Linked DNA regions of Drosophila melanogaster. The protein of the gene in region 1 purifies or fractionates together with the protein of each later gene. This does not show direct contact. Each region holds a gene or a part of one and is shown in the gene's direction. Other genes may lie near its edges. The genes, in order: Rrp4, Mtr3 and Spt6.

Evidence for each region.
Region 2: the proteins of Rrp4 (region 1) and Mtr3 purify together in Drosophila melanogaster (affinity purification with western blotting; 2 studies listed by BioGRID, with this or other methods). This does not show direct contact.
Region 3: the proteins of Rrp4 (region 1) and Spt6 purify together in Drosophila melanogaster (affinity purification with western blotting; one study listed by BioGRID). This does not show direct contact.

What each region holds. Positions count from the first base shown.
Region 1 is NT_033778.4:23,549,960-23,558,984, reverse strand, and holds Rrp4 (Rrp4), read left to right. Parts: upstream 1-2,767; 5' UTR 2,768-2,846; coding exon 2,847-3,293; intron 3,294-3,356; coding exon 3,357-3,806; 3' UTR 3,807-3,967; downstream 3,968-9,025. Other genes in the region: ItgaPS5 (integrin alphaPS5 subunit), read right to left, coding at 1-131, 191-905, 957-1,059, 1,121-1,961, 2,060-2,229; Dcp-1 (death caspase-1), read right to left, coding at 5,805-6,061, 6,122-6,684, 7,111-7,262; pita, read left to right, coding at 4,569-4,730, 7,949-9,025.
Region 2 is NT_037436.4:19,907,350-19,916,860, reverse strand, and holds Mtr3 (Mtr3), read left to right. Parts: upstream 1-3,145; 5' UTR 3,146-3,231; coding exon 3,232-3,382; intron 3,383-3,440; coding exon 3,441-4,270; 3' UTR 4,271-4,456; downstream 4,457-9,511. Other genes in the region: Rpn1 (regulatory particle non-ATPase 1), read right to left, coding at 1-1,670; Prp3 (precursor RNA processing 3), read right to left, coding at 4,533-5,287, 5,342-6,383; Mi-2, read left to right, coding at 6,782-6,818.
Region 3 is NC_004354.4:6,266,221-6,279,599, forward strand, and holds Spt6 (Spt6), read left to right. Parts: upstream 1-1,576; 5' UTR 1,577-1,686; coding exon 1,687-1,725; intron 1,726-1,886; coding exon 1,887-1,971; intron 1,972-2,546; coding exon 2,547-2,752; intron 2,753-2,904; coding exon 2,905-3,024; intron 3,025-3,093; coding exon 3,094-3,245; intron 3,246-3,310; coding exon 3,311-8,204; 3' UTR 8,205-8,764; downstream 8,765-13,379. Other genes in the region: schlank, read right to left, coding at 187-371; CG3566 (uncharacterized protein), read right to left, coding at 8,863-8,950, 10,008-10,076, 10,150-10,238, 10,312-10,419; Ubi-p5E (Ubiquitin-5E), read right to left, coding at 10,924-12,528. UniProt on the Drosophila melanogaster protein: Histone H3-H4 chaperone that plays a role in maintenance of chromatin structure during RNA polymerase II transcription elongation.

The sequences.
Region 1 (9,025 bases):
CAGGAACCTTGGCGAAGGGCAGACGGGCGGAGCTGGTCACATTGAACTGGGCCACGTAGGCGGGCTCTCCGCTGTTGGTAATCTCGTAACTGAAACTGAGGACTTCCAAGGAGCCAAAGATGAAACTAGAACTGAGAAACACGATTAGATTAGATGGAATCACACACGAATGATCGAGATTTCATCTTACTTCACATCCTTGCTGCTCAGCTGCAAGTCAGATACACACACATGGGCGGCACATCCCGTCATAAAGCTGAGCGTCCCCGTGGCATACTTGGGCTCCAGGGGATCGACAACGGCGCAGGATTCGCAGAATGCTTCGTGAGAATGGGGAATCTTCTTGGCCAGTTCGTAGTGCAGCTCGAGATCAATGGGCGTGAATATGCCACCGGTGTAGTGCACCCCCACCGAAAAGTTCCGGCAACTCCCGCTCAATCCGGCCTGCGCCTGGAATGACACCTCATTGGTGCGCATGGGCGCAAACGATACCCGCTGCAGGAGCTCATCTATGGTCATCCGGAAAGTCAGCTCCTGCTGCTGCATCTGCCTCGCCTTGGAAGTAGTTTCCAGTCGGTAGCAGGCGGTCACCGTAATCGTTTCCTGCTCCGGCCTGATCGCGCGCGATTCCGAGCGCACAGTCGCATGGATTTTGACCACCGGATATGCGCGATACAGATACACTGCCTCGGCACCGGGCGCTCCAATCGCCAGGTCATTGAATCCGTTGCCATCTATGTCCGATCCGCGGGAGAGGCCTTGTCCAAACATGTGGGCTCCGTATGGACCCGGCTCCCGCGAAGGAGCATCCAGTCGCTGGCTCGGCTCATCCCGCAATCCGTGCTCGCTGCCCAGGAAAATGAATACCGCTCCGTTTCCCGCGAAGGGCGCTCCAACGGCCAAGTCTACATGTGAACTAATGAGATACTATATCGAATACCCAGAGGATTACTCACCGTTGTATCCGTCGTGGTTGATATCGCCCACTTTAGAAAGCGAACTTCCGAAACGGGCACCACTGCTCAATGGCAAGCGAATTATCTTTTTCTCGAATTTAAACTGAAGCGGGAAATAGAAGCAGTCTGACTAATGGCGATTATAGGGAATTCGGTTAACTCACCAATCCCTTGTTGATGAACACGTATATGGCACCCACGTCATAGGAATCCCCTAGAGCGTTGAGTGGCGCGGATACGACCACATCCGTTAGTCCATCGCCATTGAGATCTTCCGCCACCACGGAGTAACCGAAGTACTCGCCCAACTGCTCGCCGTGAAACACATGCAGCTTACGGACTATCTCTCCCACAACGTCGAAAATGTATGCCTTGCCGGTATTCAGGACAGAGCTCGGCGCGGTGGTCACGTAGAGCAGACTGGTCCGGTTATTGCTGCTAAAGTATCCGGAGCTCAGGGCGTAACCGACGTATGTGAAGTGATTCTTTACCCAATCCCACGAATCGAGCATCTTGACTGCATAGCTTCCCTGGGCAGCCAAATCTTCTCCGCGGTGCACTAACACCGATCCCTTCCAGCTACGGACTCCCGGGGCGCCGATCAGGAACCCCGAGTTGTCGTCCGTCACATGGGCACTGAGCCCCAGCTCCAGCATGAAATGTTCTTCTGCTTGCGAAGGGATTAGACTGATAGTCCTCACGTCGCTCAGCGGAGGAGTGTCTGCCACTGTGTCCCGAACCCAGTAGCAAATTCCTCTCATTTGGCCATAGTTCTTGTTCTTCGGCACGAAAAACCGAGGTGCGCACACGAGCAGCTTGTCCGTATCCTTGGTGCCGCCATCCATAGAGCCGCCCAGCCACTGGAATTGCTTATTTAGCTTGTCGTTTAGGACGTAATGCGAGCAGGATCCACTGGCCAGGGGGCATCTGTAGACAGCTCCAGTCTCATTAATGCTGCCTTGCGATTCCAAGGTGGACTGAGCACGCGGAGCTCCCACGAAGATGCTGCATTGATCACGAAGTTTTTTGTTAGAAGGAACTTCATGGAATTTCAAGTGCAATCACAGTCTGGGATCGATAGCTTCCCTAGGATAAGATCTCACCTGGTTGGACGGATGACGAGCGAGTATCCAAAGTAGGAGCTTCGCACTTGGATCATTCGGGTTTTTAGGTGCTTTGGAGCATCTATCACTCGATTCGGCAATGGCGAAAAGTTCATTGCATTGCTCTGGTATTTGAGAGCCAAAAAAATTAGGAACAGAAGCCGATGCATTTTCTACTTCAAGTTTTTAGTCTTATTCTAGAAAATATTATTCCGGATGGGAATGTGCCTGCGAGCTCTGAGGCAATCCAACTGAAACAAGATGATGAATGTTTCAGAAGTCTAATGGAGCTTAGCTAACTTAAAGAAGACAGATAACTTATCATTGAAATGCCAGAGCAATTATTTCAAAGCTGTTCTTTAAAATTATAATTTGTATGCTGCTTATCTAAGGACAAACTCAAAAATGCTTTCGACATATATATTATACACATTAACAATAAATGTTATTTCATAAAACTAAGGAAACTAAAAACGTGATTTTAACAGTTTTTTTTAATCCCCTTTACTTTTATTTTATTTCGATTGTATGTATTTTTTGTTAGGCAATAGAATTTGCAAGTCTTCGTTACATTTACTTTCGAATTTCAACAAAATTGGTTTTTAAAATTGCAATTCGCCGCAACCGATAGGCACTGTAGTTGCGGCGAAGAAATGGAACTTGAACCGGAACCAGCAACGAACCCCGAACCCGAACCGGTTCCGCGTGGCGCGTGTTTTGCCAGCTGTTGCTCTTTTTGCCTCGCTCAAAATTAAATTTTTGTTTACCTCGCTTTGGCCAAACTGAGATGTCCACCAACGCGGCGATAGATCTGGCCCTGGACCGGGTGGACTGGCGCGACCTGGCCGCGCAGACGGAGGAACAGCCGAGGGTGTATACGCCGGGGGAAGTGCTGATGCCGGAGGCGGGATTCATGCGCGGCCACGGAACCTTCGTCGAGGACGAGAACATCAAGTCCTCGGTGGCCGGGGTGATCCAGAAGGTCAACAAGCTGATCTCGGTGCGCCCGCTTAAGAGTCGCTATGTGGGCGAGATCGGGGACGTGGTGGTGGCCCGCGTCAGCGAGGTGCAACAGAAGCGCTGGCGAGTGGACACCAATTCCCGGCTCGACTCCATCCTACTGCTCTCCTCGGTGAATCTGCCAGGCGGAGAACTACGACGGAGATCGGCGGAGGACGAGCAGATGATGCGACGATACTTGGACGAGGGCGATCTCATCTCTGCCGAGGTCCAGGTGGGTACTTCCTAACTTGCTGGTACTGGAGTAACTATATAATCTTTCTTCTCTGGCCACCAGAACATCTTTGAGGAGGGCTCCCTTTCGCTGTACACGCGCAGTTTGAAGTATGGAAAACTATCGCAGGGCATCCTGGTCAAGGTGTTCCCCGCTCTCGTCAAGCGCCGCAAGATGCACTTCCACAACCTGCCCTGCGGCGCCTCCGTGATCCTGGGCAACAATGGCTACATCTGGATATCGCCGACCAAGGGCCAGGAGGAGGAAGGCGGCGAGGGAGGATTCGCTCAGAACCTGAACGAGCATGTGCCGCGCGCGGATCGGGAGGTGATCGCCCGGCTGAGGAACTCCATCCTCGCGCTGGCCAAGTGCAAGCTGATGATTTACGACACCAGCATCCAGTACGCCTACGAGGAGTCCCTGCGCTACGAGGCCCACGAGCTGCTCCAGCAGAACGCCATCTACGACATCGGCCAGCAGACGCAGGCTCGTCTGAGGGACGCGGACGAGTAGTATATATGCATATACATATATTTTATACACAAGTAGCTTAAATAGAGGTTAATGTATTTTCTACCGTCAAATGAAAAATTAACATTTCAATGGGTTCGAAATTGGTGGATTTCAAAATTGCATCAGTGGGCTAAAATCTTAAATACACTGAAAACTATCGCAAGCTTTCTGTTTAATAAAAATGTTCATTTGATATTTCCTGAATTTGTATGATAAATGTTGGTTTCCTAATAAAAAGTCAGGTTTTCTAAAATACACAAACTCTTTAAAAAAGAAAACATTTATTGCATATAAGTTAGGTTTTATTGGCGTTTAAAAAATACATACATTTTCATAGCACTTTAGTTTTAGTTAAAAGTTTCGACTTAAAATTACTTTTAGTTAAAAAGCAGCTAAAATATCGATATTTTACCAGGACGCGCACCGAGTGGCAGCACACATTAGCGATCCGGCAACGCCCTGGCGGTTTGTGCAAATGAAAAGTGATTCTGCCTGGATGATAAAGGGACTCGGCATAAATTTTTTATTTTTATGTCATCCCATATTAGTGTGACGTTGTATTTGTGACAAATACTTGATTGTGTAAAATAAAAACAAAAAGTTTCGCTAGCAAAATTCACACAGAAACATCGATATCTGCATAGTGCACATCTCTAAGCGACGCCAAGCGATTGTTTTCCTCTCATTTGTAATCTGTACGCACTTTGCAAGTGAAATTCCGCGTTTCTACCGCCGCCCGGAACGAATTACCGCCAATTGCCGATGGCCGCGAAACTGGAGGTGCGCGAGGCCATGCTGACCGAGAAGAGGGTCTGCCGCTTCTGTCTGACCGAGCAGAAGCTGGCCTCGATTTTCGAGGAGAATCCGCGGGTGAAAACAACCGCCAATCTGCCGCTGCAGATTATGGCCATCACGGCGATCGAGGTAAGCGGCTCCATCCATGGGTTCTGGCTTGCACTAACCAGCGCCACGCATAACTTGGCTAAGAAGCCGCATCGCGGGTTTCCGCATCGACTGCGAGGCGTCTTGGCTAAGTTTCCCCGCTCCAAACTGCCCCGCTTCCCTTTCCCAGCCGAATGTCCTTGAAAAGTGCGACCAGGTTACAGCCCAATTAGTTGGCTAATCATTGGGCTTTCCCTTTTTCCTCTTGTGCAAAGAAAAATGAAAATTTCTGCGATTTGGGGCAACTGTACTGCGCCACACGCACACTAGTGCGTCAACAGCTGATCGCCCTGACAGCTGTCAGTTGTTTTTGGCGCTAAATTCAAATCGAGATCATATTTAAATGCATTAATAGTTCCTTCGATACTTATATTTACGCAAAAATCATCATTTGGTTAATTTTATTAATTTCCTAAATTATAAAATTAGGAAATAAATATAAAATTTAGGAAATTAATAAAATTAGAGTGAGAAAAATCTTAATTAATCACTCTTAATAATGCTAATTTGAATTCCACTAAAGTTTCGTACAATTTCACTGATTCAGCCAACCAAGTCTTCATTGTTATCTTTTATTTCCCATATCAACGTACTCAATCTGGCCCAGACAGCTCCTGTCTTCAAACAAAGTTGCTTAGATCGAAATTACCCATCTACGTTCAATTGGGGAGATACCTTGCTATGTTTTTAATTCATTTTTATTCATATCAAATATAAATGTTTGCGTGTACATAAAAGTATGTATGTATGTATAAATCTTCATTGTATTATCTTATCTCAAATTTGTGGGTTTTCTATTGGCAAGGTCTCGCTTATGCATACGGAAGTCATCTAGTGGGTAAATGGGTAACGAATTTCGTCAATGATAAGGCCGAAATGGGCATGGGAAAGGCAGGGGAATGAATGAAAGGGAGTCGGGTGCTTCAATATCCATCGGGATAATCGCACGCGTCAGCTAAAACTAAACTTGAAGTGAATTGGAATCCAACGTGAATGATTGCGGGCGATGGTTGTACAACCTCTGTTGAAAGTTCTTCTTCGAAGGGAGATCTCTTCCTAGCCAGCCTTATTGCCGTTCGGCTTGTCGCCGAAGCGCAGTATGCGCGTCAGCATGGAGGTGAGGCACGGTATTTGCTTCTGGCGATCCATCATCGGTGTGGCGGGCACGTTCGACTCAAAGTCTAGGGCTACGCGCTGGTTAACGAATGTAAGCAGGGTGAGCAGGTCGTACTTTTTGCCATTGGCGTTCAGCTCGCGGATCAGCGATTGCATGTACCAGGAGCCATTGTTGATGTTGCGCCAGGAGAAGTAGCCTAACAGGACGAGATTGCTAGTGAAATTCACTAAAATAGTTACCTAATCATATTCCTTACCCGGAATGGTCGAGTAGGAGAAGAGAAAGTCGGCGTGTATGGGTATCTTGTAGCTCGTCGAGGACTCCCCGTCCGTCTCGGTAACGCCCTTCTCCAGAGTGATGCCTCCGTCCAAGCGATCGCCCTGGCAGGCTTGGATGAAGAACAGCTTCGGCTTGCCCGCCAGCGAGGGGCAGAAGGTGGCAGTGAAGTAGTGCCAGATGTTGTCCAGCTTGTACTGCGTATCCTTGGCGTACAGGTAGCCGTGCTCCCCGTGCGAGAGTATGGCCACCGCAAGGCAGTCGTTGTCCGTGTGGTCCAACTCGGCGGCCTTCCCCACGTGCTTCAGGATGTCCCTCAACTTGCAGTCCTTGTGCACGGACACCGCGAATCCCAGGTTTTCAAAGGCCTTTTTCAGCTCTTGGGCATCGACATTTGTTCCGGTGCGGCTCTTCAGCGAGGGTATGTCGAAGAATTCGTGGTTGAAGATCAGCGCAACTCCGCGGTGCTTGTGACTCATGTTGTATTCGCTTGCATATCGTTCCACGGGCATTCGAGCCACAAACTTGTTGGCCGGCAAGGGGCTGGGGAAAAAGAAATCAGAATTATAATAGCCATTTGGGAAGCAGCATGATAAGATAAGGTAATCGGCGAAATAATCGATGATTGGGTATTTATTTATGTAATTATTTTCAAATATATTTGTGAATAAGACTAAATAGAACAATAGAATTAAAGTCAAGTGCTTTCAAACTTTGTGACTTCAGCCATTTTAACAACATTATAAAGACAGATTGACACATTGATTTTAAATGTTGGCAATAGACAGTATAAATAATATAAAAATAATAGATTGTGGAATGAAAATGGAATAAATAAAAAAAAAAGAGCTTTATATGCTGCATTTGAAACTAGGATATAGCAGTTATGCCAGTACTTGCATTGATAACAAAACACAGAAACATAAAGAGAGAGATGGGAGAGGGAGAGAGCGAGGCACATGGACTCACCTCGCTGCAGTTGCACCACCAACAACAAGAGACTCCGGCGTACAGCCCTTGGCATCGGTATTATCAGCCATTATAAAGCTGCCCCGATTTTCCGATCCATTTGGGCTGCGAATGCCTACTCCGTAGTTTCTGGTTACGCACTCGTCGGTCATCTTGCGCCCCTTTTCTTGCTTAAGTTCTTGTTTTGATTGTTTGCGTTTCTCCTTGTGTTTCCTCTTGCCTTTTGTTCGCTCCCTCCTGCTCCTCCCTCGCTCACGCGCTGCTCTTTCCTTCCTTTTCTCTCTCCGCAGTTGTTGCGCCCTTTTTGGTCTGATTCTTGTTTTATTCTGACACTGCTTCTGTTTTCTATTGCTCTGCGTTGGCCAAACTTTGCGCAGCGCAGCTGTTTTGCGCTTCTCAGCCAGCTTTTGTCGGCTTTCGATCGAGCGAATGTCCTTTTATGGCTCACAGTCGGACGTGTTTAATCAATCAATTAACGGAGGTTAAGCGTGCTCTGAGCGGCGAAAACAAACTGCGATTGCATGTAGTCGTGTGTATGCACTTGCCGCCAAGCGGCGATGGCCGCTCGTCGATAGCACTAATCATCGATTGGTGGCCATCGATTAATTTGTAGAGGGTGTTCTGGTCCTCGGCGCCTTTGTTTAAATTTAAACTCTAACATTATATTGTTCATTTTAAGGGAAAGAGACATTTATGGCGTTTAATTTATTATGTAGCGAAAAACATATAGGGGTGTTCCACGAATATTACCTTATTATTTGGCTTAAGCACGGACTTCCCCGAATAAATGTAGCTTCCTAGTCACTCACACATTTATCTAATCTAACATTAAAAACAGGTCTACGCCGGCGACGGAATGCCGGGGCACATCTGTCTGGAGTGCCGCCTCCTCTTCGAGCACTGCTACCGCTTCAAGCAGATGTGCAAGCGGGCGGAGACCCTCCTGCGCCAGTATCCGCTCACGGGTAACTGGCCATCGCCGCTGGAGAAGCCCCGTGCGCCCATGACGATGGTGGCTTCCAAGAAGTTGTTGGTCGTGCCAGCAAAGACAGCCGAGCCAAGCGAAACGCCCAAAAAGCTGCTGAACACAATGGCCAAATCCAGTAGTCAGGTGATCATCGAGGACGTCCAGGTGCTGGAGAGCGCCATGGTGACCCCCAGGACGGTAGCCGGTTCCTCTCCAGTGCCACGTCGTTCGCACGCCTATGAGCTGAAGGTGGATAACAACCAGGAGCTGTCCATGGACGATGTGCAGAGCATGCTGGAGGATATGGCCAGTGAGCTAGAGAAGGAGTTCCCCGATATCCCCCAGAAGGCATCACCCGTCAAGCCGAAGGTGCTGAACAAGTCCTCGATTAGGATCTTGAACAAGGGACCCGCCGCTCCGGTGGAACCGCGCCTGGCCACACCCAAAGTCAAGCGAGATGATAGTGGCAATGTGGCCATAGTGACAGAGGTTCTGGACTCGGATCTGCCATTGGACGATCAAGATGATCCGACCAAGAACGCCGAGAAGGTGGCCACCGATGTGTTCCCCTGTCCCGATTGCGAACGCTCCTTTCCGCTGCAGCAGCTGCTCGAGATCCATCGGCTGAATCACACTCGCTCGCGCAGCTTCCAGTGTCTCCTGTGCGAGAAGAGCTTCTTCTCCAAGTACGACCTGGCCAAGCACAACTTTGTGCACACCGGCGAGCGGCCATTCAAGTGCGCCATCTGCTCGAAAGCCTTCACACGGAAGGCATTGCTCCATCGCCACGAGCGCACCCACACGGACGTACCCAAGTTCATCTGCGTGTACTGCGAGAAGCCCTTCCTTTCGCGCCAGGAGATGGAGAAGCACGCCGAGCGACATCAGAAGAAGCGTCCGTTCCAATGCGGTGTCTGCACCAAGTCGTTTGCCTTCAAGCAGGGATTG
Region 2 (9,511 bases), on another chromosome or scaffold:
CTCGTGTAGGTGTCCTTCAGATCGGCCTTGGTCAGACCCATAATCGTCTGCAGCAAGATCTCGGTGATCTCCGAATTGCACGAACCAACACTGATGAGACCCAGCGACAGAGCCGTAATACCCAATATCTCCACGCTGGCCGAACTCTTGTTGTTGCTGCCAAACGAGAAGACCGTCTTCAGGGTGTCGATCACAATGGAGCGATTGGAGCCAGCGTAGGCGATGCCCAGACCGAGGATGGCGCCAACGCGCATGCAGGAGTTCTGGTTGTCGATATAATCGGAGAGCAGAGCATGAGCCGGATCGACTTCGTTACGGATGCCGCAGTTGACGATTCCGCAAGCCAGCAAAGCGCCGGACTTGATGTTGTCATCGGTGGAGTACAAGTACTTATCGATCATGGTCAGACCACCATCCACATCCCACAGAAGTATCAAACCCAGCGATGCGGTGGCCGAGAGCATGCCGTGCTCCTTGTTCTTGTACAACCATTTGTTTCCGTCTTCCGACAGCAACTTGTCCACACCGAAACCGGCGTTAACAAAACCATTTACAAAGCTAGCGGCCAGATTTTGCTTGGCAGAGTCTACCTGGATGGATGCAAAGCGGGAGCGCGAGTTGTCCAAATGCGACTTGTAAATGTCCTCAGGCGTTTTGGGCTCCATGATGTCCAGTTCGCGAGCCAGATTGAGGAAATGCTTGTTCAGATTAGCATTCGACATGATCTCCATGAGATCATCGTAGTCCGGCACCAATTCATCCAGCTCCAGGCAAATCTGTTGGCGGGCCAGCATAAAGGCCAGCTGCTTCTGCATGGCCGGCTCCTTGGGCTCCTTGAAGATCTCACCGATCTTGTCCATATCGTTGAGCATCAACGCCAGTCGCATGGCCTGTGTGTACTGGTTGAACTTGCGCGACAGCTGGAGCGCGGTTTCCAGGATAATGGTGTTGTCCGGGTCGGGAACATACGGATAGCAGGACTGCAGATAGAGACAGACGCGGGGATAGGCCGACTCGTCCACAAAGTCGCTCAGCAGGTGCAAGTGATCGATTTCGATCAGCAGATCGCAGGCATCAGCCTCGGCATTGTGCTCCATATTGTACGGGATGATCTGCTTGACCAGTTCGATGAGCTGTACACGAAAGTCTCCCGTTGTATCGTGATAGTGGGCCGAAATTTCGCCAGACAAATGACGCACATACTCATGGCCCCAGTCCCCGATGCGCTGCTTGCGATCGCAGAGGAATCGGTAGGCCAGGCAATCCTTGCCGCTGCCCATGGTCATCGAGAGCACTGAGATGATGTCGGCGCACAACTGGCGAGCCTGCTCATTGGGCATGTGCTTGTACACCGTCTTCATGGTTTCGTAGTGCGGGCGCATGAACTTCAAAGGCTTGGGCACCGAGGTCATCGACGTCGTGGAGGCTCTGATCAATTTGGCCATACTCTCCAGCGTCGGCTGGTAGAGCTTGGCATCCGGCTCCTGCAAGTGCTGCACCAGCAGCTCCAGCTCCTCCTGCAGCTGCTGGTCCTCGTCGGAGAGCTCCGGCTGCTGCTCCTTGTCCTTGCCGTCCTTCTTTTCATCCTTCTTGGCCTTCGGATCCTTGGCATCGCCTTCGGATGCCGCCGGCTTCAGCGGCTTCTTCTCCAGCTTGGTCTCGCCCGTCATGATTTCTTTCCTAGCTTGTCGGACTTAAGGGATTTAATTGGCACTACGTTTTCTTCGATTGTAATGCGGTTTATGCGGCTTTGTTCCTTCTTTTTCGTTGTTGAAACAGCAGAATTACACAGCGCTTTTTGCAGTGTGACCGCGCGGCGAACGCCAGGCTATGCCGCGCTAATCTGTTTAAAATACCAGAATAATCAGCTACCGTTACCACGAGCTGGTAACGTTCAAATAGTGATGGCAGTGACTTTCACCTTATCGATTTTTAGGGGCCTTGCCAATCAAAATTGAAAGGTTTAGAAAGTGAAAGAAAAAGCTAACTATATTTGTGTATGTGTATATATTTAAAAATGTTGTGATATGCAGATATTTTAAATATCCATTTAACTTCCGGCCTTTGCAGTTGTATTAGCTGTAATTCCTTGATATCAACGGAGATCGTTTATATTTTCAAACATGTTGGGCTACTTATGACACAATGCGTTATTTTCTGGCCAAAAAACTCTTGTCTGCTTTTGCTGCGGAAGTATTTGGTGAAGTAGCGAGTCCCAATATGCAAAAATGGGTCTCTTGAAATTAACTGATCTAATCTGATTTCTTCAGAAATTGGTTGATGGTTGGTTAGGATGTTAATGGATCTCTCTAGTTCCAACATTCATCCTGCGTAATATCTTCGTGAGTTTAGGAAAAACATTATTTCACTGACACTGATTCATTAGATGAATTCTCGGCATCTCCTACAAAACTGTCTCCGTCATCGGACCCCAAAAGCTGTGAATTTGAGAAATCCTCTTGATCCGAGGTATTGTGGTTCTAATTTTTTTCTCTCTTGACTTTCATATCAGCAGCAATGGCAGAACTTTTGGTCCTGCAAAAAAAGGAATCAGTCGTCAGGTGTATATAATATTAGAGATATGGGTTTCAAACTATGAATGGGTAACTCCGAAATAATGGCTATTCCGCATGGCTTTTACTTGTCTTGAATTTTCTTTTAAGATAATACTAAAGCTAGCCTCGCAACTCTTCACTGAAATTCAAAAGTAAAATCTATAACGCGGGCATATATCCTACCATCAGTATTCTATTCCGCGACACACTATTCCAGGCCTGATGCAAGGCCATCCATGGCAGTGCTTCTTGTCGGCCATATTCCCAGAAATCTCTTCAGTCTGTACCGAGTGGATTAGCGTTATCTTAAGCGTTGTTTTACACTTCGGCAATCGATTTTTCTGCGATTATATTTAAGCTCTTTTTTCTCTTAGTAACAAAGAAAATACTACTAAGTTATCAATTATCAGAAGGAATCAAAACATTATTTAGACTTTATAAATAATTAGCACAATTAGCACTAATAAGAAGACTTATTTTAGGTTCTTATTATTAAGGTTCTTTGAAGGTTTTCATTCAAATACGATAACCCACGAAACGATACAGAATCGGTATAAAATATCGAAATATACAAAAATACCAGATTTGTATTTTAATCGAAAACTTAAAAGTCTTTAGACCACATGTGAACTCAGTTTGTTTATTTTTATATTCAATCAAAAGATATAATATAAATATGCTAGCGGTGAACCAGACGAAGAACACCCTACTCGATGGAGCCTCCATTGAGGAAGAGCCGTACACAACTCCGCAGGAAAGCGAGGATTTCTTTGAGAGTCTAGACAAACCGTCGAGGGAGCCAACACAACTGGCACCCAGAAACACCTGTTAGAAGTGCACATCCTTATTTGTATTTCAATTTCTCATACCTCTTGTGACTTACAGTCATCCGCGCCGGTGTGTTGACCACAGTGAGAGGTTCCGCCTACATGGAGTATGGTAACACCAAGGTTCTGGCCATTGTGGCCCCGCCAAAGGAGCTAATCCGCGCCAGCGCACGCAGAATGAACATGGGTGTTCTGAATTGCTATGTGAATTTTGCGGCCTTCAGCACAGGGGATCTAGATTCGGTGCCGGAACGGGAACGCCACCTGAGCAGCATGCTGACCAAGGCCATGGAGCCGGTGGTGTGCCGCACGGAGTTCCTTAACTTTCAGCTGGACATACGGGTGCTTATTCTCGACGATGACGGCTGCCTGCTCAGCACTGCCATCAATTGCTGCGGAGTCGCTTTGGTGGAGTGCGGCATTTCCACTTACGACTTAATTACGGCCTCCACAGCTTGTATCTATCGGGATCACGTCTTCCTGAATCCCAGTGCCAAGGTTGAGGAGCTGCTCTGGAAGCATCGCAACAGCAGCACCGATAGCACAACCAGCCCATCATCCGCCCAGGAGCACGGCCTGATCATTACCGCCAGCATGGATACCTTTGAACAGATCGCCCAGTGCCAGCAGTGCGGATATCTCAGTCCAGCCACCTATGTAAAGCTGCTGGATTACACCCTGGCCATTAACAAGTCCCTGAGAGAACTAGTCAAAGGCGTGCTCACGAAGCGGGTGAAGGAGCAGCACGAACTAGATCTACGCGAGAAAGCCGAGACCGCTCTAGAAGATCAGCGTTTGGAGGAAATAATCGAGAAGCTAAAGAAGCAAGGACCAGAGGAGTTTATACAATCGAACATCCGGGAGGATCCCTATGTAAAGAGGCAGTAGTTGGTTGAGAATAAATCATACTAATATAAATCCCAGATCTATTTGAACAACAACCACCACTTAAAAAATGATTACTACAAATATTTAGAGTCCAGATAAAACTTTTATTCGTTATTTTTGCACTTCCAAAGTTCCGAATAGCTTCGAAAATAATAACATCAAATGCGTAGCGCGCTTCAAAACTTTAATTCAGACTTGTATCTTTCCGAAAGTGAATTTGTAGAACTGTAGTGTATCTAGCAATTCTTAAAATGCCTTTTATCTACTGCTGATCCGTGGAGGCCTCAAGCACGGCTCCGGAGTAGGCCAGATCCCAGTAGTGTTCGACCTGGTGCTTCTGAAAAAACTCACGGGCCATTTTTTCCATTGGAAAGATCTTAAACTTGATCTCGCCAAAGTGCCGTCGCTGACTAGTCCCCTCCCAGACGAGTACGCATGAGTTCGGCACGTCCTGGCCGTCATTGCCCTTGGCGTTGTCCTCCTCCCACTTAATGCGCGTTAGCATGAGCCTGCGATACTTTTTCTGCTGCTTGGGCCCACCCTCCACGACAACCACACAGCAATCCCGGAACAACACCACGCTGCCGGTCATCTGCAGCTGCTTGGCATTGGTCTCCACCTTGAATTTCTTGCTCTGGTTGTCCTGCAGATCTCGTATGCGATAGACGCTGACATGTACACCGCAGCTGGTGTCTTCCCTCAGCTTGCGCTGCTTCTTTTCGCTCTTCTGCTCGCTGGTCAGCTTGCGCGCATTGTTGGCATCTTCGTGCGCCTTCTGCCGCTTGGCCATCTGGTCGCGCACATGCTGCTCCATTTTGGTCGGATCTTGTACGGCCTCCGAGCCAAGCACACGCATCAGGTTGGATATGCGCAGTTTCGGCTCTGGTGGGGCCACCAAACCCAGTCGGATCTTCTCCTGCTCCTCCTTCCAGGCCTCGCGACGGTTCTGGCGACGAAGCTTTTTGCGCTCTTTCTTTGTGAGGAAAACCGGCAGATACACTGGTTTCAAGGGCTCATCTGAAGGAGTAGGTGGTTAGTTGCTTGTGGGACATGTTCTAGCTTTCAACTTACTTGGCGGCTTCATTTGTGTGGGATGCTCTATAAGGTTGGTTATGGCTGTTTGGCGTATGCTTATCTTACCGCTTGCGTCGTCTACCGTCTCCAGATCCTGGGTCAGTATAACTGAGTCCCACCACTCCATGGCAGGCACATCGTCCGGCATGTCCTGCTTGGGGGCAATCAATGCCAGTTTGGTGGCCGACGAGATGCCCGTTTTCCGGGCTATTTGCGAAATCTCATTCTGTAGTCGCTCCAGCTGGCTTTTCATGCGCATTCGTTCGGCCAGCTGCTGGAACTTTCCGGGCTCGTGGAATCTCAACGTCCTCTTGGTTCTAACAGTGGGCTTCAGGGCTATGCGGTCGTCAAAGTACTTAATAGCTTCTTCCTGGGCCGAAGTGCCCGATTCACTCCGTTCACCCAAACCCGTTTGGCGTTGGAACACCTCCCGTTTCTTGGCGCGTATGTTGGCTTTCAATGTAGGTGTCACCGTGGGAATATTAATGGTACGTCCGCTCTTGTCCACAGTGCGTCCTTCATCGTCCAGAATCAGGGGTTTGGGTCGCTCCTGCGCTTGAGCAGCAGCTGCAGCGGCGGCCGCTACCGCAGTGGGCTGAATCAAACTAGCCAAATTGCCAGTAAGCTTGGCCCTGATCTGTGCCTGCAACTCGGCAATCTTCCTGGCCTTCTCCGAGTCCTCGGGCGTGGGCTTCTTCGCCAGCGCTTGAGTGGCTAAGGCAACTGGCATTCCGATCGATGGAACTGACGCCAGCAGCGGATCCTTGTCTCTTAGATTACTCAGGGCCCGCTTGCGTTCCTCGATCTCCCGCTGGGCATGGGCCATCATCAGCTTGATCTGCGTGGAACTCAGCGAGGCGGGCACGGCGACCTCTTCTTTCTTCTCACCACCGCCGCCATTCTTTTCCGGGACATCGAAGCGGGATTTCTTGGGCGCTTCAAGGGCGCTTCCACCACCACTTTTGGAATCTGAGGCGGCAGCGCGCTTTTTGGACAATTTCTGGTCGTCGCCATCCTTGCGCGTGATAATGGACGACATAATTCGCAATTAAATGGGTCGGACTAAAAAGTAAATGTTATTTACCAACTGCTTGGCACATTCCTTGAGCTTAAATCAGCGATTTGCAATTCAAAAACAATACACAAGGTTTTTGGTCTTTGGTGAAAAATTCTCCGAAACACGTTAGGACAGGGTCGTTAAAAAAACATAAAAGTCAGGGTTGTCATGTCGCCAGTGTGACCGTTTCGCTTTCTTTTATCGGGGTGCAACCCTAGTTCTCTCACTTTTTGTCGCTCTCCGCTCCGCCATATTTGTTGAAGCCGCTTACAATTGACTATTTTTTTCTCGTCGTGTCTGTGTGTGCTTAATTATTTGTTGTGGAAATTAAGACAATTTCGTGTGCTCAAACAGTGTAAAAGTTGCATTCGAGTGCTACAATGGCATCGGAGGAAGAGAATGACGATAATTTCCAGGGTAAGTGCATTGTTTCAGTCGGCCAAATGTCGGCGTGAAAAAAACTCGGTCCGACCGTCGCTCGGTCAGGCTAAGAACCGTGGTCATGTTCAAGAGCCGCAAAGCCGCGCAGCGTGCTGCGTCCCCCTCCCATTGTTTATTGTTGCCTATTATCCTAATTGGTCATTGTCATTGCTGTACCTCGTTATAAACTATTTGTATTACAGCAATTGGTGAAATTTGTACATGTGTGGCGCGTTTTTTTGGGGTCTTTTGCGCCTCCTCCATTCCACACATATTTTTTATTGCATTTTTGTGTTCCCTCCATTCGCGAATGCAGGCAATATATAGACGTCCTGCTCACTCATCAAAACATATGTTTTACATGGTTGTTTTGGTCGAAAGTTTTGAGTGGAATACTCTGTAAATCCTTTAAAATTAAGTTTTATCTTAAGTTCTTTAGCAATTAAGATGTTTACTTTACCTGTGAATTGTCAAGTGTCAATTGTAATATACGGAAAATTCATTTTAGTTCACACTTATTGTGGTGTTACCGTATATGCAGTGTTATCATCGGCTGTGCAATGGTATCACCAGAAAAATAGTGTGCCCCTTTTGGAGCTAGTCGAGAATGCCCAGACGGCCTCATCTGCCACCATTTACATTCATTGTTGCTTGGACGTGGCAGCCATGACGTGATTTCTGAGTTTTTGTTAAAGAGATTACATTATTAATTGTAGAGAAAACTGTTAATTAAGGGGAATACGTGCATTACTCGCCACCGCCTACCGATTGCCAGTGTAAAGCCACAAATCCAGTGCGTAATATATCCAACTGAAGGAAAAGCGAAAAAAGAATGATGAAAAGTGTGTGCAAAAAATAAAAACCTGAAATTACCACAAAATATGCATATATATATTATAAATTGTGTAAGAAAGCAATGCAAAAAGAAAACGAAGCAATATGTGCATATATCTAAAGAAACGAAACAAAGATGCGTGGAATATTGTGGAAAATCTTGTCGCACTTCCACTGACGCACATACATATGTGATTTTTTCCACTCCCCCTTCGCCGACGTGCTCTCTTGATTGATTTCTCCACTCTCTCGCGTACTTGCGTCTCTGTGTGTGTGCGTGTTATGCACGCGCGCTCCAGCCAAACGTCGCCGTCGCCCCGTCTCTGTCGCTCCAACGTATATGATAAAAAAAAACTCACAGAAACCCGACGCGTTTAAATTAAATTTAGTTAAAAACAACAACAAAAATATAGCTACCAATGCAATCCTACCGAAGTGCCTGCAAAACAACTAAAGTATAGTCTTTTTAACGAGTTAATCAAAATATGCCAACACACAAGTAAGATGAAGAAGGAGAAAAGTAGAGTGTGGAAAAGAGACGATGCCAAGGGATGGGATGGGAAGGTGCCCGTCTCGCGAGGAAATTGCTGGAATGTAGTAGTAGTTCATAGGAAAACTGATAAACAATATGCCGCCGCTGTGTAACAAAAAGCAGCAGTATCCATAGCCACCCCAATTTTGCATACAATTTATGTTAATTCGTTCGCAGCTGTTCCTCTTCTGTCTACAGGCCTCTTCTCTCTTCTGTCCCTGCCCTCATTCGCCTCTCTTCTGCTTCTCCGTTCGACGCTGTTGCACTGTGGGCGTGTGTATGTATATGTATACGGTGTGCGTGCGTGAGGAAGTTATCCTAGAGAAATAGCGTGGGAGTAGAATTCAATGTCTAATTTTAACACGTTCCCCTCCCCGTCCTTCGGTGCTCATTCTAATTGGATTCGCTGCCGTTATCCTTCGATACATCGATAGGAGGATGCTTAATTCGCTCTGTCTTTTCCCTCACGTTTGTGACGTCAGCCAACGTTGGTTCTTCCCCATTTTTCTTCTTCCTAATTTCACCATTTGCCGGTTCTGTGATAATTTTTATGATTTGCTGCGCTATGCTGTCTTTAAAATTGTTTACTTTAACATTGCCATCCGATTTCCGATTACTCTACCACAAGTAAACAATCAAGAGTAATGCGACATCGCATAAATTACAAAAGGCTAAAACGATGCACATGTATGAGTGCCACTATTTATGCAGTAATGCAACAATAAAAGGGTGTGAGAGGGATAAGAAGGTTTCGGCAATGACGTATGCATTTTTCCTACGTACACAGCAAGAAATACGCAATGGCATTTGACACCGTTTCAATGTTTCATGCAATTAAAGCACATATCGATCAAATGTATTAATAATAATGACATTCATTACCGCAACTTTGTATCTTCAAAAGATCCAAATAATTTGATTTTTTCGTTGTTAATCTGAGCATTCTTGTCATTTTTTTATCAAAAGCTTCGCTGTTGCCGACTGCATAAATCTGCTTAAAACCCCATGTCTAACAACAACAACATGGCGCCAGCACAAATAAAATCAAAAATTCAATACAAGAAGTGAAAGTATACTGTGTGTGTATGTGAGCTGCAGTTACTGGTGTATTGGTGACGATCTTACCTTGCTTTGGCGAAACACAACTTGCCATCCCGCTCGCACGCACTGCATTCAATCAAGTCAACAACAAGTGGTGCTTTTTTATATCCGCCATGTATATACATATACATATCTTTATAAATATATATGCTTGTATAATTGGTAAATGGTATGTGTGTGCTGGCATTTCGAAAAAGTTTACTTGCGCTTAAAGTCCACAAAA
Region 3 (13,379 bases), on another chromosome or scaffold:
CGGTGGGCTTACTCAATGGTAAGGAGAGCGAGAAAGAGCGGGAGAGAGCGAGGGAAAGCCGTATGAATGGGGTTAGAGAAAGAGGCGGAATGGAATCATGTTGCCGGGAATGGCGAGAATGGAAAGGGAGTCAGTCAGTTGGTTGGGAAGAGTGCGGAGGGGGGAAAATGGACGTGGAAAACTTACCGCTCCAGCGTGTAGCGGACCAGCATGACAACAGCGGCGAATGGAATGGGCCATATGAGGTCCTTGTAGTTGGCGTGCACCACATCTGGACGCGAGCCGGGCGCAATGTCCGCCCAGGTTGTGTTCGGCGGCAGCCAAATGTGCGTACTCCAGAATACATTGCTGAACTCATTCAATATGTCCATGTTGCTGCTTCAGTTGCCGCTTCTTAATTTCTCAATTGTTTGTTTTCTTTTTCTTGGTTTTCCTTTGCTTAGCTTTCCAGTTTTTCCTTGGCGTTTGTTGTCACATATGTATATGCTTTGCTTTTTCTAAATATTCGCAATTGTATGAGCCTGTGTTATTGTGCCTTGCGAACAACAGCAACAATAACAGCAAGAACAACAATAAGCGACAACAACAGCAACAAGAACAACAACAGGAGCACCGGACACTAATGCACACTCACAGCGTAGCACAAACACACACTGGCAAAAAAACAAAAACCGCCGAATCGAATTGTTGTTGTCTTGTCTCGTTAACTTGCGCTTATGGCTTTTCTAATTCTACTTCTATTTCTATTTGGATTTCGATTTAATTCGTTTTTGGAAATGCTACCTTTGCCGTTTGTTTGGGAGCGTAAATGAAGTGAAGTTCCCTGACAATCTGTTCTCGACCAAAGCAATAGACTTTCTGAATTTCGGCTCGGTGTCGAGTCGGCCGCCGCTCGTTTCGTCCACTTAAACTTTCAGGATGAACGAAAAAAAATACTAATAGTATTTCCTCGTCGAGCAACAACAATACAGTGTGCCCAGAGACGGCGGAGCAGTAAATGTAACTGCAGCGCGACAAGTGTGCCCGTGTACGGGAAGACAAGGAAAGCCAGCAAAAATAAGGCTTTAGAAGCTACACAAAATACCAAATGCACTAATAATTTTAAAGAACTTTTAATTCACAAGTTTGCGAATTTTGTTTATTGCTTATTATTATTATTGTTCATTACGTTTACCACTAGTTTTTGAGAGAAATTATTATGCGCTACAATTAGTGTTGGTTTTTCGGTAAGAACTCATAAAAGTCAACTATGTAAAGGAAGTATGCCATGGACTATAATGGAAATTAGCAAACTTCATCGTTGAGACCAAAGGGCATATGTGTGTTCCCATATAGGGGAATTTTCCCGCTTATCAATACAAGTATGTGTGCAAAATTCTTGTCCAATTGTTGTCAGCACATGAAAACGGATAACTAACCATAGGTTATAGGAAGGATCCACTGTAGTTCTGCAATGCAAACCAGGGCTGGCAGCGAGAACACTGCTGTAAGCTAACAGCAAACTGTACTGTAAACAGTAGAAAACTGTTCGTGGTATTTAGTATTTAGCTAGTATTTTAATACCAACTTTTGTGCAATGCGATGAGAAATAAAGAAGAAGAGAAGAGGAAGAAACGCTCACAAACTCTTCGTTTCTCTGCATTAATACGCACTTTATTATTAAGTTAAGCTTTATTCCATTATATTATGGCCGAATTTCTGGACTCCGAGGCCGAGGAATCGGAGGTAGGTGTCTGCGGAACCCCAAAAACACTATTTCTAGAAGCGCGTACCGTTCGTGCGTCGTTATGTGTGCGGTGTGCGTTGCGCCTTGCGTGTGTGTACATACATATGTGCCTACATATATATTGAATTAACCAAATGGCTTTTCTTCGTTTTTCCCGCAGGAGGAGGAAGAATTGGACGTCAACGAGCGCAAGAGACTCAAGAAACTGAAGGCGGCCGTCTCCGATAGTAGCGAAGAAGAAGAAGGTGAGTTTTTCCACTGGAGCCGCTGAAGGCGCGTACAAATACATACATACATACATACGTATGTGGCGATCTCTGGCGGGTTTTTCACCCCTCTCACCATCCATCGATCGGAACAGTCCATATCCGGGATAAAGGCACCTATAACTGGCCAATGCCACACGCTTGCAACTTCTTTTGTTTACAACTTTGAGGTTAGGTCTTGTGTTTTTACCGTGCTACCGTGGCCATCAAATATCAGCATCAGCAGTAGCAATAGCAGCAGCAACAACAACAAACAGCTGCGCTCGTTCCAGTAAATAAAACAAGTGCGGCGAATTGGAAGAACGCGGCGTATTCCAAGAAATTGCAAATCAAAGCAGGGAGGGAGAATTAGTTCAATAGATGGAGCTGGAATAATCAATGGTTAGGGCTTATCTATATCGAAATCTAGGTAATTTATCAAATGTAGGTCTTTCTCAAAACCGGGTGAATTACTTAAATTTAAGCTTTAAAAACAGTTTTCAGTTGCATATGTATATCTGCGGCTACAATGAAGGTAAAAGGTAAACCGATATTCTTATTGCCCTATTCCGTAGACGACGAGGAACGGCTGCGCGAAGAGCTCAAAGATCTGATCGACGACAATCCCATCGAGGAGGACGATGGCAGTGGTTACGATTCCGATGGCGTCGGCAGCGGCAAGAAGCGCAAAAAGCACGAGGACGACGATCTGGACGATCGACTGGAGGACGACGACTACGATCTTATCGAGGAGAATCTGGGCGTCAAAGTCGAGAGACGGGTAGGTGTTCCCTTCAGGGAAGAACTATGTACTTTTTAAACTCCAATTGTGGCTCCAATTTCGAAGCTTAACTAACAAAGAATAACATAGCTGAGGGATTGGGGCTTCTATCTCCTCAAATATATTGTTTGAAATTATGTTTTCCCTTGTAGAAGCGGTTCAAGCGTCTGCGTCGCATCCACGACAACGAAAGCGATGGCGAGGAGCAGCACGTGGACGAGGGTCTGGTGCGTGAGCAGATTGCCGAGCAGTTGTTCGACGAGAACGATGAGGTATGCCACTAGTAATCCCTGACCACCAATTAATGCACAGTGTCCAACTGATTGCCCCTGATCCTACAGAGCATTGGTCATCGCAGCGAGCGCAGTCACAGGGAGGCGGACGACTACGACGACGTGGATACGGAGTCGGACGCAGATGACTTCATTGTGGACGATAATGGGCGTCCCATAGCCGAGAAGAAGAAGAAACGGCGCCCCATCTTTACAGACGCGTAAGTATACAAACTATAATAAAGTTTAGATATCAATAGATACGATTAATATAATCCAACCACAGATCACTTCAAGAGGGTCAGGACATCTTTGGCGTAGACTTCGACTATGACGACTTCTCAAAGTACGAGGAAGACGACTACGAAGATGACTCGGAAGGAGATGAGTACGATGAGGATCTGGGCGTCGGCGATGATACGCGCGTCAAGAAGAAGAAAGCGCTCAAAAAGAAGGTGGTCAAGAAGACAATCTTCGACATATACGAGCCCAGCGAGCTCAAGCGTGGTCATTTCACCGATATGGACAACGAGATTCGCAAGACAGACATCCCAGAAAGAATGCAGCTGCGAGAGGTGCCCGTAACCCCGGTGCCCGAGGGATCAGACGAGCTGGACCTCGAGGCTGAATGGATCTACAAATATGCCTTCTGCAAGCACACTGTTTCGGAACAGGAAAAGCCGGAGAGCCGCGAGAAAATGCGCAAACCACCGACAACCGTTAACAAGATTAAGCAGACGCTAGAATTTATACGCAACCAGCAGTTGGAGGTGCCCTTTATAGCCTTCTATCGCAAGGAGTATGTGAAGCCAGAGCTTAATATCGACGATCTCTGGAAGGTTTACTACTACGATGGGATCTGGTGTCAGCTAAACGAGCGAAAGCGCAAGCTAAAGGTGCTTTTCGAAAAGATGCGTCAGTTCCAGCTGGACACGCTATGCGCCGACACAGATCAACCCGTACCGGATGATGTTCGCCTCATCCTGGACAGCGATTTCGAGCGCCTCGCCGACGTACAGTCGATGGAGGAGCTAAAGGACGTGCACATGTACTTTCTGCTGAACTATTCGCATGAGCTGCCCCGCATGCAGGCGGAGCAGCGACGAAAAGCTATACAGGAGCGTCGCGAGGCCAAGGCGCGTCGCCAGGCAGCCGCCGCTGAGAACGGTGATGATGCGGCCGAGGCGATAGTTGTACCAGAGCCGGAAGACGATGACGATCCCGAGCTGATCGATTACCAACTAAAGCAGGCGTCCAACAGCAGTCCCTATGCGGTATTCCGCAAGGCGGGCATCTGCGGCTTTGCCAAACACTTTGGTCTCACGCCGGAGCAGTATGCCGAAAATCTGCGCGACAATTACCAGCGCAATGAGATCACCCAGGAAAGCATCGGTCCCACAGAGCTGGCCAAGCAATATTTGTCGCCGCGCTTCATGACCACGGATGAGGTTATCCATGCCGCAAAATACGTTGTGGCCCGACAGCTGGCACAAGAGCCTCTGCTGCGCAAGACCATGCGTGAGGTGTATTTCGACAGAGCTAGGATTAACATACGGCCCACCAAGAATGGCATGGTGCTGATCGATGAGAATTCGCCGGTGTATTCGATGAAGTACGTGGCCAAGAAGCCGGTAAGCGATCTATTTGGCGATCAATTCATAAAGCTAATGATGGCCGAGGAGGAGAAGCTGCTGGAGATAACGTTCCTCGAGGAGTTCGAGGGCAATGCGTGTGCCAACGGAACACCCGGTGACTATGTGGAAGAGTCCAAGGCCCTGTACCAGCTGGATCAGTTTGCCAAGCACGTGCAGGAGTGGAATAAGCTGCGGGCGGAATGCGTACAGCTGGCGCTGCAGAAGTGGGTCATTCCGGATCTGATCAAGGAGCTGCGCTCAACTCTGCACGAGGAGGCTCAGCAATTTGTGCTGCGTTCCTGCACGGGTAAGCTGTATAAGTGGCTAAAGGTGGCACCCTATAAACCGCAACTGCCCCCCGACTTTGGCTACGAGGAGTGGAGCACGCTGAGGGGCATACGGGTGCTGGGTCTGGCCTACGATCCCGATCACTCAGTGGCCGCTTTCTGTGCGGTGACTACCGTGGAGGGCGACATCTCCGACTACCTGCGACTGCCGAACATTCTGAAGCGCAAGAATTCTTACAACCTTGAGGAGAAGGCCCAGAAGTTGGCCGACCTTCGAAAGCTGAGTGACTTTATCAAAATGAAGAAGCCACACATTGTTGTCATCGGAGCGGAATCGCGCGATGCCCAGAACATCCAGGCAGACATTAAGGAGATTCTGCATGAACTCGAGACCTCCGAACAATTTCCGCCCATCGAGGTGGAGATAATCGACAACGAGCTGGCCAAGATCTATGCCAACTCGAAGAAGGGCGAGTCTGACTTTAAGGAGTATCCTCCTCTGCTGAAGCAGGCTGCTTCGCTGGCCCGCAAGATGCAGGATCCGCTAGTGGAATACTCACAGCTGTGTGATGCGGACGACGAGATTCTCTGCCTGCGCTACCATCCGCTACAGGAGCGTGTGCCGCGCGAACAGCTGCTGGAGCAGCTCAGCCTGCAGTTTATCAATCGAACGAGCGAGGTGGGTCTGGACATTAACCTGATGGTGCAGAACTCACGGACCATCAACCTGCTGCAGTACATCTGTGGCTTGGGTCCGCGCAAGGGTCAGGCTTTACTTAAACTTCTTAAGCAGAGCAACCAGCGGTTGGAGAACCGCACCCAGCTGGTCACCGTGTGTCATCTGGGGCCCAGGGTCTTTATCAACTGCAGCGGTTTCATTAAGATCGATACCTCATCGCTGGGCGACAGCACAGAGGCGTATGTCGAGGTGCTGGACGGGTCGCGTGTGCATCCAGAAACGTACGAGTGGGCCAGAAAGATGGCCATCGATGCCATGGAGTACGACGACGAGGAGACCAATCCGGCCGGTGCCCTTGAGGAAATTCTCGAGTCGCCAGAGCGCCTTAAGGATCTCGATCTGGACGCATTCGCTGTGGAACTGGAGCGCCAGGGATTCGGCAGCAAGAGCATAACCTTGTACGACATAAGGAACGAGTTGAGCTGCCTGTACAAGGACTACCGCACTCCGTACACAAAGCCCAGTGCGGAGGAGCTCTTCGATATGCTGACCAAGGAGACGCCCGACTCGTTTTATGTGGGCAAGTGCGTCACGGCCATGGTCACCGGTTTCACCTACCGTCGGCCGCAGGGCGATCAGCTAGACAGCGCAAATCCGGTGCGTCTAGATTCCAACGAAAGCTGGCAGTGCCCCTTCTGCCACAAGGACGACTTCCCAGAGCTGTCCGAGGTGTGGAATCACTTTGACGCGAACGCGTGCCCTGGCCAGCCATCTGGTGTGCGTGTGCGTCTGGAGAACGGCCTGCCTGGCTTTATACACATCAAGAACTTGTCCGATAGACAGGTTCGCAATCCCGAAGAACGTGTGCGCGTCTCACAGATGATTCATGTTCGCATCATTAAGATAGACATTGACCGGTTCTCAGTCGAATGCTCTTCGAGGACCGCTGATCTTAAGGATGTGAACAATGAGTGGCGGCCGCGTCGCGACAACTACTATGATTATGTGACTGAGGAGCAGGACAATCGGAAAGTGAGCGATGCCAAGGCCAGGGCTCTGAAGCGCAAAATTTACGCGCGTCGCGTAATCGCCCATCCCAGCTTCTTCAACAAGTCGTACGCGGAGGTGGTGGCCATGCTAGCGGAGGCCGATCAGGGCGAGGTGGCCCTGCGTCCGAGCAGCAAGTCCAAGGACCATCTGACAGCCACCTGGAAGGTGGCCGACGACATCTTCCAGCACATCGATGTGCGCGAGGAGGGTAAAGAGAACGATTTCAGCCTGGGCAGAAGTCTGTGGATCGGCACCGAGGAGTTCGAGGATCTGGACGAGATCATCGCCCGCCACATCATGCCGATGGCCTTGGCTGCCCGCGAACTGATACAGTACAAGTACTACAAGCCAAACATGGTGACCGGCGATGAAAATGAACGGGATGTCATGGAAAAGTTGCTGCGCGAGGAGAAGGCAAATGATCCGAAGAAGATACACTACTTTTTTACGGCCTCACGCGCCATGCCGGGCAAGTTCCTGCTGTCCTATCTGCCCAAGACGAAGGTGCGTCACGAGTATGTGACGGTCATGCCGGAGGGCTATCGTTTCCGTGGCCAGATTTTCGATACGGTTAACAGTCTGCTGCGTTGGTTTAAGGAACACTGGCTGGATCCAACGGCCACGCCGGCCAGCGCCTCGGCGTCCAACTTAACGCCACTGCACTTGATGCGTCCGCCGCCGACGATCTCGTCGTCATCCCAGACCTCCTTGGGCCCCCAGGCGCCCTACAGCGTCACTGGCAGCGTGACTGGTGGAACGCCGCGCAGTGGCATCAGCAGTGCCGTCGGCGGTGGCGGTTCCAGCGCCTACTCCATTACGCAATCCATCACTGGCTACGGCACGTCGGGCAGTTCTGCTCCAGGGGCTGGAGTATCTTCCTCCCACTATGGCAGCTCATCGACGCCGTCGTTTGGCGCCATCAATACGCCATACACGCCCAGTGGACAGACTCCGTTCATGACGCCCTACACGCCGCATGCCTCACAGACGCCTCGCTATGGTCACAATGTGCCCAGTCCCAGCTCGCAATCATCGAGCAGTCAGAGGCATCACTACGGCAGCAGTTCCGGAACGGGCAGCACGCCCAGGTATCACGATATGGGAGGAGGAGGCGGTGGCGGCGTTGGTGGTGGTGGTGGTTCCAATGCCTACAGCATGCAGCCGCATCACCAGCAACGTGCCAAAGAGAACCTCGACTGGCAGCTGGCCAACGATGCCTGGGCAAGACGCAGACCGCAGCAGCATCAGTCACATCAGTCGTATCACGCCCAGCAGCAGCATCATCACTCGCAGCAGCAACCCCATATGGGCATGAGCATGAACATGGGCATTACAATGTCACTGGGACGTGGCACCGGTGGCGGCGGAGGAGGTGGCTATGGATCGACGCCTGTCAATGATTACAGCACCGGAGGCGGTCATAATCGGGGTATGTCCTCGAAGGCGTCTGTGCGCAGTACGCCGCGCACCAACGCCTCGCCGCACTCCATGAATCTGGGCGATGCCACGCCCCTCTACGACGAGAACTAGGGGCGGCGAAGTGAATGGAAACCGAAAACCAACACAAGCTGCAAAGGATGCACTATGCACACACCATATGCTACTATATACATACACTATACTACAAAAACGAGAACAGAACCGAACAGAACAGAAAAGTCTACAATTATATATAATTCATGCACGCGCAGCTGGCGAAGATCCAGTTGCACTAATCTTAGTACTTTGGAGTGCGATTCCGCATTGATCCTCAACGATATTTAGGTTTAAGTCAAGTCCATAACTGATCCGCAGTTCACACCACATATATAAATATATATTATCTATGTATAATTGAAAATTGCGGAACGCCTGCCGTTGGAGTGGGTGCATCACCTGGCGGTGGGGGAGTAGGAGTAGAACGGCTGGGCAGGAGCTGAGACGCCGGTGGGCCGGGGAGCAATCAGGTTTGTGACGACGGAAGAATGAAAAATAAATTTCAATTTTTTCTGACCAGAAATATACCGCCAGCTCTTCTTACTAATGGGAATTCAAGATTGGTTTTATCCGCAGCTTTTATGAATAAAACGCCCGAGTTGTGTAATTTAAGCAATTTGTACAATTTATTTCGTGTCAAATGTGTGAGGAAATTGATGTTCCCAAATTGGGGGAATATATCTGGAATCTCGTAATGCAGTCCGGCCGCAGACTAGTTTCTGGCCACACCGCGTCGGATCACATAGACCAGCGAGATGCCGATGAAGGCGGCGCCCAGGGCCAGTGCCACATGACGGCAGCTGTTGCATGGAATAGAGAATATGAAAGGCGGTTTAAATCAATGGGAGTATCATGGTCAGGATAAGGCACTCCGACCGACTGGGTGTCACAACAACAAAACTGGGTGCACTTTGGTTAGCTAGCTAGGATTACACGGTTTTGCAGGCATTTCTAGAGGGGTTGATTTAACTTAGGATGCAGCATTGCTTGGGGGTGGCGGCGGCATCAGTAGGCGTGGCACTTTACCAAGGCACAGAACCAAGAATCAAAATAAAAACGCAAGTCAAGGTGGGGTGCCATTCACAAAACCAAAGAGTGACCAATTACAGCGTGCAAATTGTTGGTATTCTAGATTATCACATTTATATATGTACATAATTCCAGTTGCTTGACGTGTGCTTTGGGTTAATCATGATGGGTAATATATGTACACAGGTCAGTGGTTAGAACTTACAAGTCCAACTAGCTTTTGTAGAACCTTATTTTCGTGCTTGAGAAGGAATTAAATCTTGAATGGAGCAAATATCATACATGCAAGTTGAGATTCATTAGATTCATTAAATATTAAGTATTGTGGCTTTGTTAGCGGTTGGTAAAGAAAAAGTTGATACTCTATATGGGAATATAAATAATTGATATAATTTAAGGAACACTTCTGTATCATCATTATCTTCTTCAGGGTATCCAATCGTATCAAAGGGTATCAAAGTAGTACACCAAAAAGTGTACGAAATAGAGACTTTCAGGACACGTGAAGCGTGAAACTTTGGGGGCTTCGAGGCAATTAATGGATTACATAAGAGTTGGCTAATTGTACTTATTGATTGAAACGCAGGCCATGCTCATGCGAAACCGGTTGTGGTCGGAATAGGAGCTTCATGCATTAAGGAAAGTGGAGCGTACGAAATGATGATGATGAAATGCCTTATCAGGAATACTGGTGTTCTAGCGAGATAAGGAGATCAATCCGTGTGGGAGCGGAGAAGGGAAATCCGCAGGGCTTTCTTTATTTACATGATGATATGGCATTTTGGCTTGGTTGGGTCTTTGCATGCACTTGCTGGACAGGATTCTCACCTAATTGGGCTTTTCTTCTTGATGTCCGCAGCAGCCAGGTCACCAATGTAGTATTTCTTCAACATCTCTCTGAAAAGGCAAGTGGGGAAGAAATGTGAATCAGGTGATCCAGGCGCACTGGCTATAAGATGGACTCTCTAACCTCGCCTCCGAGCTGTGACCCACGTCATTGAAGGCCTTGGTGGCATCGCGACCGGCCTCATCCACCAGGGATTCCTCGCCACCGGGATGCTGGAGATAAGGGCATCGAATTAGATGGATTCGCCACCCCCCCCTAAAACCAACAATCTGCATCGCCACTTGCCTCGAGACGGAACTTGGTCACATCGTAGACCTTGTTGTCGATGACCACCCACAGATCCGTGGCTTTGTTGTGTTCGTTGACGGTGGCCAAACGGATTTCCTTGCTCATCTTGCCTGACTGCGCCTGCCTGCTCTTCTCCGCAAATTTAACTAAATAACGCAAGCTAACAGGTTTTCGGACTATTCCAGTGTGGCCGGCTCCACTTTTCGTTGGAGTCAGCTGGTCACACAAAATACCCCAAATATACCACATAAGGTACCTAAGCAATAATTCCAATGTACCTGTGGTACAATTCCAGTAAAATACAATAGAGTATTACAAATTTAAATATTCAAATTAAATCCACCACTCCAACGCCATCCAATGTTTATTGCAACTTTCTATCAAGAATCCCCCACAAAATTAAAAACCCTGGGAAACACAGATAAAAACTACATAGAGTATTACATTGAACACACAAATTGAAAATTTTATTCTTCGAATACCAATAATTATTGTGATTGATTATTTTGTGCCTTTGAATAAACCAATTTACTAAAACTTAGTATGAATTCTTGAGTTATGCCCTGTGGCACAACTAACTAACTTCAATTTTTATAAGGGTGAAAAAATCTAGATGGCGCCACCACGCAGACGCAGGACCAAGTGAAGGGTCGACTCCTTCTGGATGTTGTAGTCGGACAGAGTGCGTCCGTCCTCGAGCTGCTTTCCGGCGAAAATCAAACGCTGCTGATCTGGGGGGATTCCCTCCTTGTCCTGGATCTTGGCCTTAACGTTCTCAATGGTATCGGATGGCTCGACCTCCAAGGTGATGGTCTTGCCAGTGAGGGTCTTAACGAAGATCTGCATGCCACCACGCAGACGCAAGACCAAGTGAAGGGTCGACTCCTTCTGGATGTTGTAGTCGGACAGAGTGCGTCCGTCCTCCAGCTGCTTTCCGGCGAAAATCAAACGCTGCTGATCTGGGGGGATTCCCTCCTTGTCCTGGATCTTGGCCTTAACGTTCTCAATGGTATCGGATGGCTCGACCTCCAAAGTGATGGTCTTGCCAGTGAGGGTCTTAACGAAGATCTGCATGCCACCACGCAGACGCAGGACCAAGTGAAGAGTCGACTCCTTCTGGATGTTGTAGTCGGACAGAGTACGTCCGTCCTCCAGCTGCTTTCCGGCGAAAATCAAACGCTGCTGATCTGGGGGGATTCCCTCCTTGTCCTGGATCTTGGCCTTAACGTTCTCAATGGTATCGGATGGCTCGACCTCCAAGGTGATGGTCTTGCCAGTGAGGGTCTTAACGAAGATCTGCATGCCACCACGCAGACGCAAGACCAAGTGAAGGGTCGACTCCTTCTGGATGTTGTAGTCGGACAAAGTGCGTCCGTCCTCCAGCTGCTTTCCGGCGAAAATCAAACGCTGCTGATCTGGGGGGATTCCCTCCTTGTCCTGGATCTTGGCCTTAACGTTCTCAATGGTATCGGATGGCTCGACCTCCAAGGTGATGGTCTTGCCAGTGAGGGTCTTAACGAAGATCTGCATGCCACCACGCAGACGCAAGACCAAGTGAAGGGTCGACTCCTTCTGGATGTTGTAGTCGGACAGAGTGCGTCCGTCCTCCAGCTGCTTTCCGGCGAAAATCAAACGCTGCTGATCTGGGGGGATTCCCTCCTTGTCCTGGATCTTGGCCTTAACGTTCTCAATGGTATCGGATGGCTCGACCTCCAAGGTGATGGTCTTGCCAGTGAGGGTCTTAACAAAGATCTGCATGCCACCACGCAGACGCAGGACCAAGTGAAGGGTCGACTCCTTCTGGATGTTGTAGTCGGACAGAGTGCGTCCGTCCTCCAGCTGCTTTCCGGCGAAGATCAAACGCTGCTGATCTGGGGGGATTCCCTCCTTGTCCTGGATCTTTGCCTTAACGTTCTCAATGGTATCGGATGGCTCGACCTCCAAAGTGATGGTCTTGCCAGTGAGGGTCTTCACAAAGATCTGCATGCCACCACGCAGACGCAGGACCAAGTGAAGGGTCGACTCCTTCTGGATGTTGTAGTCGGACAGAGTGCGTCCGTCCTCCAGCTGCTTTCCGGCGAAGATCAAACGCTGCTGATCTGGGGGGATTCCCTCCTTGTCCTGGATCTTGGCCTTAACGTTCTCAATGGTATCGGATGGCTCAACCTCCAAAGTGATGGTCTTGCCAGTGAGGGTCTTAACGAAAATTTGCATATTGCCTGAGTGGAGAAATGAAAAAGGGAAAAAGTTGGCTTGAGTAATGGAAAGTGGAAGGAAATTGATTTTCTGCGTAGTGACCCAATTCCCGTGACCCAGAAAAGTATTTTAGCATACACATACAGAAAACATTATTGGTTTTTTCGTTAATGTTTTCACAGCTTGCATTATTTCGCCATGAAATGGCAAATTTAGTTTTGGTGACTAATCTCTAACTTCGTTAAAAAAAATCCCCTGGAACTGGGCATACACACACACACACACACACACACACACACACACACACATAGATAGAAGCATGGAAAGCACCGTTTTCTGCTTGCTGCATCGCCATTTTGAATGCAACTAAGAAAAACTATTAAGCAATTGCCAAACTGAACTCACCTTATTTTCTTGTTTCGCACACAAAAGTTAATTTATTTCTTTACTGTTGGTCTGCACTTTTTGAAATATTCAAAAACTTGCTTTTATTTTACTTGCTCGGACGTCCGCTCTCTACGACTTTTTCACAGTTTATGATTCGTTTCGCAGCCCCACGCTGGTATTTATAGGCAGCTGACTGGAAAGTCGTCGCCTGCTCTCTCGCTCACTCTCGGGCGGTAGGTTACTTTGTTTTCGCTCTCTGCCACTTAAAGTGACCGTTTCTTTTGTCTAGTCTATTGGAAATGAGATTTCGCATTGACAAGAGTATTTAACACATGAAGGCCAATCAATTGGCTAGCTGCAATACGCAAAATTGGGCATTGAAAACAAAATGCGTAGTGCATATGTGCACTGCTTTTATCTCGCTCGCTCTCGTGAGCGAGAGAGCGGAGTTATCGATAAGTTGCCTGACCCTCTTTCCAACA